2 linked regions of the Xenopus tropicalis genome follow. The protein of the gene in region 1 interacts with the protein of each later gene in a pairwise test. Links are inferred from orthologs where the notes say so. Each region holds a gene or a part of one and is shown in the gene's direction. Other genes may lie near its edges.

What was found.
Region 2: the proteins of cep19 (region 1) and fgfr1op interact in binary tests that used the Homo sapiens proteins (3 or more experiments, as listed by UniProt). The two-hybrid records come from large-scale screens. The link is inferred for Xenopus tropicalis from reciprocal best matches to the Homo sapiens genes CEP19 and CEP43.

Annotation. Positions count from the first base shown.
Region 1 is NC_030681.2:133,902,228-133,906,479, reverse strand, and holds the start of cep19 (centrosomal protein of 19 kDa), read left to right. Parts: upstream 1-1,220; 5' UTR 1,221-1,262; intron 1,263-2,273; exon of another isoform or gene 2,274-2,432; intron 2,433-4,233; 5' UTR 4,234-4,251; coding exon 4,252-4,252. UniProt on the Homo sapiens protein: Required for ciliation. Recruits the RABL2B GTPase to the ciliary base to initiate ciliation.
Region 2 is NC_030681.2:56,934,814-56,938,639, reverse strand, and holds part of fgfr1op (FGFR1 oncogene partner), read left to right. Parts: intron 1-29; coding exon of another isoform or gene 30-32; coding exon 33-247; intron 248-1,052; coding exon of another isoform or gene 1,053-1,109; intron 1,110-1,257; coding exon 1,258-1,370; intron 1,371-3,082; coding exon 3,083-3,125; intron 3,126-3,326; coding exon 3,327-3,420; intron 3,421-3,826. UniProt on the Homo sapiens protein: Required for anchoring microtubules to the centrosomes. Required for ciliation.

The DNA of each region.
Region 1 (4,252 bases):
ATGTGAATACACTATGCACAATACTTTACTGAATGAAACACTAGTTTTATTATGAGATTATTTATAAAATTTATATGAATTTTTTAAACTATTATGCACTGCAAATGGTCAGACACTGGTCCATTTGAATTTGCACATACACAAGAATATTGGCTAATTGTATAATAGTTTGATGATGGGGATTGGGCACTTTTCCACTTGTTGAATTTGAGATTGTATTTAAAAGTATCGTGAACACTACTGTATCCTTGAGAAAGGTCCTATTGTGGACCGAAACGTCAGATTCTTTTAAAACAATATGTCTTAAATAAAATTGAGAAATTTTAAGGATGTGACGGCCACGGAATAATTATCTCTGAATACTTAAAATATGGCTGTGCACCCCGCAAAGCTGCAAGCTTTGGAGTGCAGACACTATAAGGACTGAGATATATATGTTCCCTGTCCCATGTGTGTGGGGTATCCCCTCTCCTCTTGCCACTTTTTCCACATTATTGTGCGTATTTTTATGTAAGTTCCCAACACCACTGCGTTCTATGCTCCCTTGAAAACTTTTGTTTCAAAGCCACAGTCACCCACCCACTCTACAAGTTTAATATATAATATTCTTCTAGGTGCCATTCTTTGTGCTTTCTGATGCTTTTTTCCCCCCCAGACAAAAACAGAGAACTGCAGTTCCACAACCACTGGAAGACAGCAGATGGCCAGGAATTTACACTCGCTTTGTGCATTTATTGGAATCCACAAGGGAACACAGCCACTAGTTATCGGCTGGCTTGAACAATGAAAACATGAAATAAACAAATGCGGTCTGTGTGGGGCTGTTTAGCAGATCTCTGAGCAATGTGTGTTACCAACAGGCCCCTAAGGAAGAGCTCAGGCACAGTGCTGGCTGCCCCCTGCCCCCACCTCGCACAGTGACAATAGAGAGACAGTATTTGAGATCTCCGCTCCCTGTGGCTTTGGGTGTCGGAAGCTTGACTGACTGATCAGGTAAGGGCAAGGCAGCCGCCTAATGAACAACTGAATAGCCAGTGCTCCCACCCCCACTTGCTTTCCCTTCAGGAAAAAAAGACTTGGCTCTGATTACGCGGAGTCCTTGTCTCTCCCCCTTCCCCCCACAGCAACCAATCAGATCTTTGCTTTCGTTTTCCAGCTTGCAAGTTACCGTTCATATCTATTTGCTTATTGGTTGCTACAGGCAACAATACTGCAGACTCTCTGTTTAAGCCAATGCAGTTCCTGGCACAGGAGTGAGCGTGGTAAGTTATAGGGGCACCAGTGGTTCTGGTGAGTGGGTGGGGGGGCTGTGTAAATGGCCCAGGGTGCATGTTGCACTCAAACCTGTAAGCACCCAGCTGCATTTTGTCTGTGACTGTCGTTTGTTAAACTATCACTCTTAGCATCTGTGTAAAGTCACAATACTCATGCATTTGTGCAGTTATGTTATTGGCCAGTCTGAGGATAAGGGGATAAGGGAATACTCTATAGTGATATTATTGTGATGTCTGGGGTTAATGCAAAATGATTCCCCCCAGAGAGCTCCAAAATACAAACATGGATTTTTTTTTTTATTTCTACTTGTGGCAATAACCTTGTACTTCATGGTAACCATACTAAAGTATAAATCCATGCTGTAGCACAACAACACTATTGGCTTTTATTTTTCAATATTTAATGTTGTTAATTAGCATTAAAGAGGTTGTTAACCTTTAGGATAACTTGTTTACATACAGGCAGGGCTGGTGGCACTGGACCTAAATACGCCCCCTACATGGCAGATGTTAAGTCATTTACGCAGTGCCTATGGCGTGAAATCCTCACCCCCCCCCCCCCCCCCAGCTCCGTCACCAGATTTCCCCAGGAACTCTGTGGTGGAGGTTGGGGGCATTTTTTTTCCCTTAAATAAATCAGATTTATAGGCATATACATTTTTTTGGGGGGGGGGGGTACCTTGTGCTTATTTATAACTTATGTCCATAGATCCACATTGGCTGCAAAAATATCCCATTAGGTCTATTTAAAGTTTTTAGCAAACCTAAGGTATGGTGATCCTAATTATGAAAAAAATACTTACCCAGAATACAACAGAAGCCAAACATTACTGATAAAAGATCCTATACCTGTATACTATTCAAAATTCCTAACTGTCTGTGAATGAGTTGAATAAGGGATGCATACAGTATGTATTAGTGATGTGCAGGTCAGGAAAAACTCAACCTGCACCCGTCCCTAACCAGCAAAATGTTGCCATTGCAACTATATGCTACTATATGCTACTTTTGCGCGCCTTAGGTTCCAAGACAGGGAAACTTCAGAAGCAGAGGAAGAGCATACATCCCCAGTCTCTCGTAATGGTGGGAGTGTATTTTAGTGTGATCTTAAGTTACAACCAAACATTGACACCAGTTACCATGCTGTAACTAATAGAGGTATAAACATTATTTACAAGCCCTTGGAGTGTGCTGATGATTTAAAGGACTGTTTAAGTTCTTGATAGGCAGCACCCAGGCATGATACTTTGTTCAAATTAACAAAAATAAAGATTTGGAGACTGATTTATCATTGATCAAATATGGGAATATTTATCGATCCTCAGCAGTTTGAGCTGATTTTCAACTTCCAAAAACTTTCCAGGCTGTGAGGAACACTTGGGTGAAGCTCCTTATATAATCTCTTGCGGCTCAGGACCACACAATAGCTGCCTATCAGGAGATTAGTGAGCAGGGGGCTTAGTCAAAATAATGACCTAAAAATCCACTTCTTTATAAAAAAAAGTTCAACTGATTGAAGCTGATTTGAAAAAATAATATGCAAACTTCTGAAACATATTTTGGCTTAAAATTCCAGTTTGTAATTGAGAGCTGATCATTCACCTTCCTCTTTATAGAAAGCAAGGATAATGGACAACCATGTGATTTTCATTTCTATGCCCCTACCTGGACCTGAACTTTACCAGCACACTCACTTCCGTTGCCCTGTGAGCCAATGGCCTAAAAGATTACTTTTCAGAATTTGCAAAGTTGGTTAAACAAAGCCTACTTAAACATATATAGTTATTTCAGTCACTTTGCTTACTAAGCCAACTCGTTCTTGGCCCTATAAAAATGTTTCCTTACAAATCTTTCATTTATGCCCTCATATAAGGATGATCTAGGCAAACTTGATCAGCATTGGTGAAAGTTGAATAATGTATCAGGGTGGAACACTGACTGCAACCAATCTGATTTTGGATTGAAGTTAAAAGTTACAAAGATGCCACTGGGGTTGGAACTTTTTTTTCAGAATTGGGTTCATTTGCTTTGCCATTATTGGTTTTGCCCTTCAGCAGTGCAGCTGTATTAGACACTTTCTCTGATATGAATATGTTCAAAAAAGAATTATTAAATAAAACACTGTTTACTTGAAAATTTCTGTTAGATCACATAGGCAATAGATGATGTATCTTTGCACATCAAGAAGATGCTTGATCTTTTCAAGAGTAGCATTTATCAACCTGACTCTCCCTCACATGCTGAGTCCGATTAAAATTTTAACATATTAAAACCTATTCCTCTTAATTATGAAGATCCACCATATCCAGAATTAATTATAGTTTTCACTCATAAGAATTTGAAAAAAACATGGGCCATTAATTAAAAAAACTATTTTCATGGACAAATTTCTATAAGCACCCTAAGAATACCAATACTACTATAAATCAGGTAGGTGAAAGCATCATGTTGTGGGGATCCTTCTTAATTGGCGTTTTAGGAGTAAAAGATAAAACAGTACACATCCCTTATCATATAATCTTTAAATGATAAAGCTGCGGAATACATTGGTGTTTCATAAATATGTGTTAACAATACAGGTATAGGACCTGTTATCCAGAATGCTTGGGACCTGGGGTTTTCCAGATAAAGGGTTCTTTTGGTAATTTGAATCTCCATACCCTGAGTATATTAAATTAAAAATCATTTAATCATTACATAAGCCCAACAGGATTGTTTTACTTCCAATAAGGATTAATTATATCTTAGTTCCCATCAAGTACAAGGTACAGTTTTATTATTACAGATTAAAAAAAAAATCATTTTTAAAAATTAGAATTCTTGGCTTATAATGGAGTCCATGGAAGATGGCCTTCCGGTAATGTGGAACTTTCTAGATAATGAGTTTCCGGATAAGGGATCCCATACCTGTAATAATGACTTGTTGTAAAGAAAAATAATTTTACATTGCTTGTTTCAGCCCAACTGTAAAGGGGAGA
Region 2 (3,826 bases), about 77 Mb from region 1:
GTATGCTCTCATTGTCTGTTCTAATTCAGCAGACTGATGATCGGATTGAAAAAAATACTCTCTTCTCTAGAGAGTCCAAACAGAAGCTTGAAAACCACATATTAACCTTTGAAGCCAAATCAGATTTCAATCTAAACAAGTTATCCTTTGATAATGAAGAGAGAAAAACAGAATTGGATGAAGATTATCTTGAAGGAGATTCTTTCTTTGATGATCCTATTCCAAAACCAGAGAAAACATATGGATGGTGAGAAATAGATTCTGTTGCGTTTTCAATAGATGCATTTATTTATTTATCAACACAGCAGTTCACTTTGTAACTGTTTTCTAGAGTTATCCTATAGAGAAGGCAGTTTTAAAGGAAATAATATATTCTATGGATCTCTTAGTGAATGATTTTTTATATGAACATTATGACCTCATACAAACACATGGAAAAGTGTAGTAGTAGGTTTTTTTAATGTTCCATGCAATATTGTATGTATACTGTTACATGCTGTGTAGTGAAGACATGCACAGTCTTGGTTCATTAACAGTAAGCAATATGATGTTACTTTAAAAGGATGCTATCATTAATTAATACCTAGCAATTTATTTAAAATTATAGTGCACCCGACTTGATTTGACTAAAATCAGTGTTGTAAAAGAATTTCCAGCATCTCACCAAAACACAAGGGGCATCTTACATCGCTCTGCGACCCCCAATCCATTTACATCACTGCTTCAGCCATTTCTAATTCATCTGTGTGTTGGGTATATCATGGGGTCATTTATTGCAACAAATGTAATTTGAAATCAGTTATCACATTTGATGAGTGTGACTTTAAAGTTTTTTTTGTGTCACTAACATTTTGGGACTAAAGCCTTGCCTCCTCCTCCCCCCCCCCCCCCCCCCCCCATCCAGTGTTACGTTCCTGTGGGGACTCTGACATTGCTTTAGCCATATTTAGACAAAGGACAGTGTAGTAGTACATTTTTTCGGGTTTTTCTAGTGCAAGTGTCATTTTTATCCTCTTTCCTCTAATGCTGATCCATTAACATGTGGAAAAAAGTGCTGAAGGAGCGGATGTTTCATTAAAAACAGGAGTCAGTTCAAATTCCACAGAAAGGTGAGAGACTCTCTTGGTGTGCCATATTAATCCTTGTTACCATTCCTATCAGTAGTTTCATCTGGCAGCTTTTATTTTGCCTACAGAGCTGTCTTTGCCAATCATAATCATTTCTTGAGTTTTGGTGATACATTTCCCTTTTTATTAGGAAAAGTGACCCCCCTAAGCATGGTGGAAGTGTTCCTGCTCATGCAACTTTGCCTCCATTAAAAACAGAAACAAGTTCCCGCTTTGGATCACTTAGCACCAGAGAATCTGACCGTAAGCTAAATTTCTACTTTTTGCATAATGGAAATATACTGTATGTGAAACTCTGTTTTCAGTTCTGACAAATGTCAGTTGTATGGTACAGTTCTGAATTGTTATTTTACAAACGGTATACAATACATTTAAAAATACCTTACATTTTTATAGAGGCAAGATGTATGTATGTATGTATGTATAACTTTATTTATAAAGCGCCACAAGGGTACTCAGCGCTGTACAGTCTTACAGAATACAAAATTACACACAGAGAGGACAAGTGATATAATAAATAAATTCAATAAATACATATATGTAAACATATATATATATAAGTGCCATGTGGTATGAGACACAGTAGGAAGGAGGTCCCTGCCCCGTAGAGCTTACAATCTGAGTGGTTCGGTAACATACAGGCACAAACTGGAAGGTAAGAGTGCATCAGGTATGGGCATTTGCCCTTAAGCGCAGGACTGGGCAAAATTAATGTCTTAGTGCTCCAGAAGGTAACAGCTAAGTGCTCCAGAAGGTAACAGCTAAGTTTTTTTCTTAAAGAGAGTGGGTGAGTTTTCCCTACGGAGGGATTCAGGGATAGAGTTCCAGAGGTAAGGAGCAGCGAGATAGAAAGGTTTAAGATGAGAGAGCGCAGTGGGTGTGGATGGTGTAAAGAGACGGAGGCTCTGAGAGGAGCGGAGGAGACGACCAGGAACATGTAGGGGGACCAGTGAAGAAATGTAGTGAGGAGCAGAGGAGTGAAGGGCTTTGAATGTCAGCAGAAGGATTTTGTAAGCTATCCTTTGCTTGACAGGCAGCCATGCTAGTGAGCTTAATTGAGACTGAGCAGGATCCCTCTTAGGAGAGAGCAGGAGGATCCTGGCAGCAGAGTTTAAGATTGATTGCAGGGGAGAGAGGTGGGAGTCTGGGAGGCCGGTTAGTAGGAGTAAGATCCATGTATTTACCTTTACTCATGATCACAAATAGGACTTTTATTTAATAAACTGTTTTTTAAGTTACATTTTTTTGTTTGTTTTTTTTTTTTGATGTTATAAAGCACAGGTTGTTGAGAGGGGGATTATTTCAGAAATAATGATTTTTTTATTAATTAGAATTAGGAAGTTTCTTATTTCCTAATTTCCATATTAAAATGGGTGTTTTACTTGTAAAGACCAACCTACTGCTCACCATCTCCAAGGGAAAAAAACTCCAAGCAGTTATAGAGAATCCATTGAAGGCAAGTCTGGCAAGTCTATGGAATGTTTATGCAAGAGCAAGCTTTGAATGAAATCGAGCTACAAACATTCTAAAGCAAAGTTCTTTATCTTGGGCTTATTTGTTTACATCGATTGCTGTTTCTCCTCAATGGTTTTTGTTTAAAAAGTTAAAATCATCTAATTGTAGATTTAAAAAAAAAAAAAAAAGATAAAAAGCCAAATAAAGCAAGATTTTTCTATTCTGTTTTAGTCAAACGTGACCATCAGTAAAAGTAATTTTAATACTAAGGGTCTCACAACCTTTTGCTGCATTCTAAGTTCAAATAAAGGATAAGAAATGGCATGCAGTAAAGTTGCCTGTTTGGTTTTTTAGACTTACTATGTTAAACAAGGACTTTCCTTTCACAAAAGAACTTGTAAAAATATTTCCTGTATCATGGGTTGGATTAGTTTATGTGGCTATTAACTGAAAAAGTACATATTTTTGCATTAATGTTCCTTTTATTTCCCTTTTCAAAGGAACTGGTGATGAAGATGATGACTACATTGATGATTTCAACAGGTAAAATCCGAAGAACACTATTTTTCTGCTAGTTAGTTATGACCTATATGTGCACGCCCATTTTTTACTGTAACAGTATGACAGTATGTCTGTTTAGTTAGAAGGGCAAGTGATTGTAAAAACTGATGTTACTTGTTTTTTACTTAACATATATTGTTAATTTCTCATTTGAAAAATGTTGTCTTTTTTTTTTTCTTTTAGCACCAGTCAGCGGTCAGATAAAAGTGACGTTAGTATTGGTGAGGAAATAGAAGAAGAAGAATTATCTGTAGATGATTTCATTGGTAGTGAAAAGGTAATAGTCCTTTTCTGTTTCTTAGCACCTGTCTTGTGCATTGTAACTAGTAACAGTGGATGTGGTTAAACTAAATGTAAACCACAGAGCTTTAGTTTGATGTATATGCCCTTATGTTGTACATTACAAGAATATGTTGCTGCTTATTAATGTACATTAATAATAATTAAAACAATAAGAATAGTGAGTAACTTAGTGAGTATACCACAGCCCTCTTTTTATAGAGTATGATTTTTCATAACTGATCCATGCTCCATCTGCTTTTGTTTTCATGAGTAAAGTTTGTTTATCTTTAATTGTTTATTTGCAAGATAAAGCCATTTTTTCAGCAGTATGACTGTTGCAAGGCAATCTTTAACTGAATGAGGGAATCTGAAGTATATGGTTATTTATAGCACCATTTGCA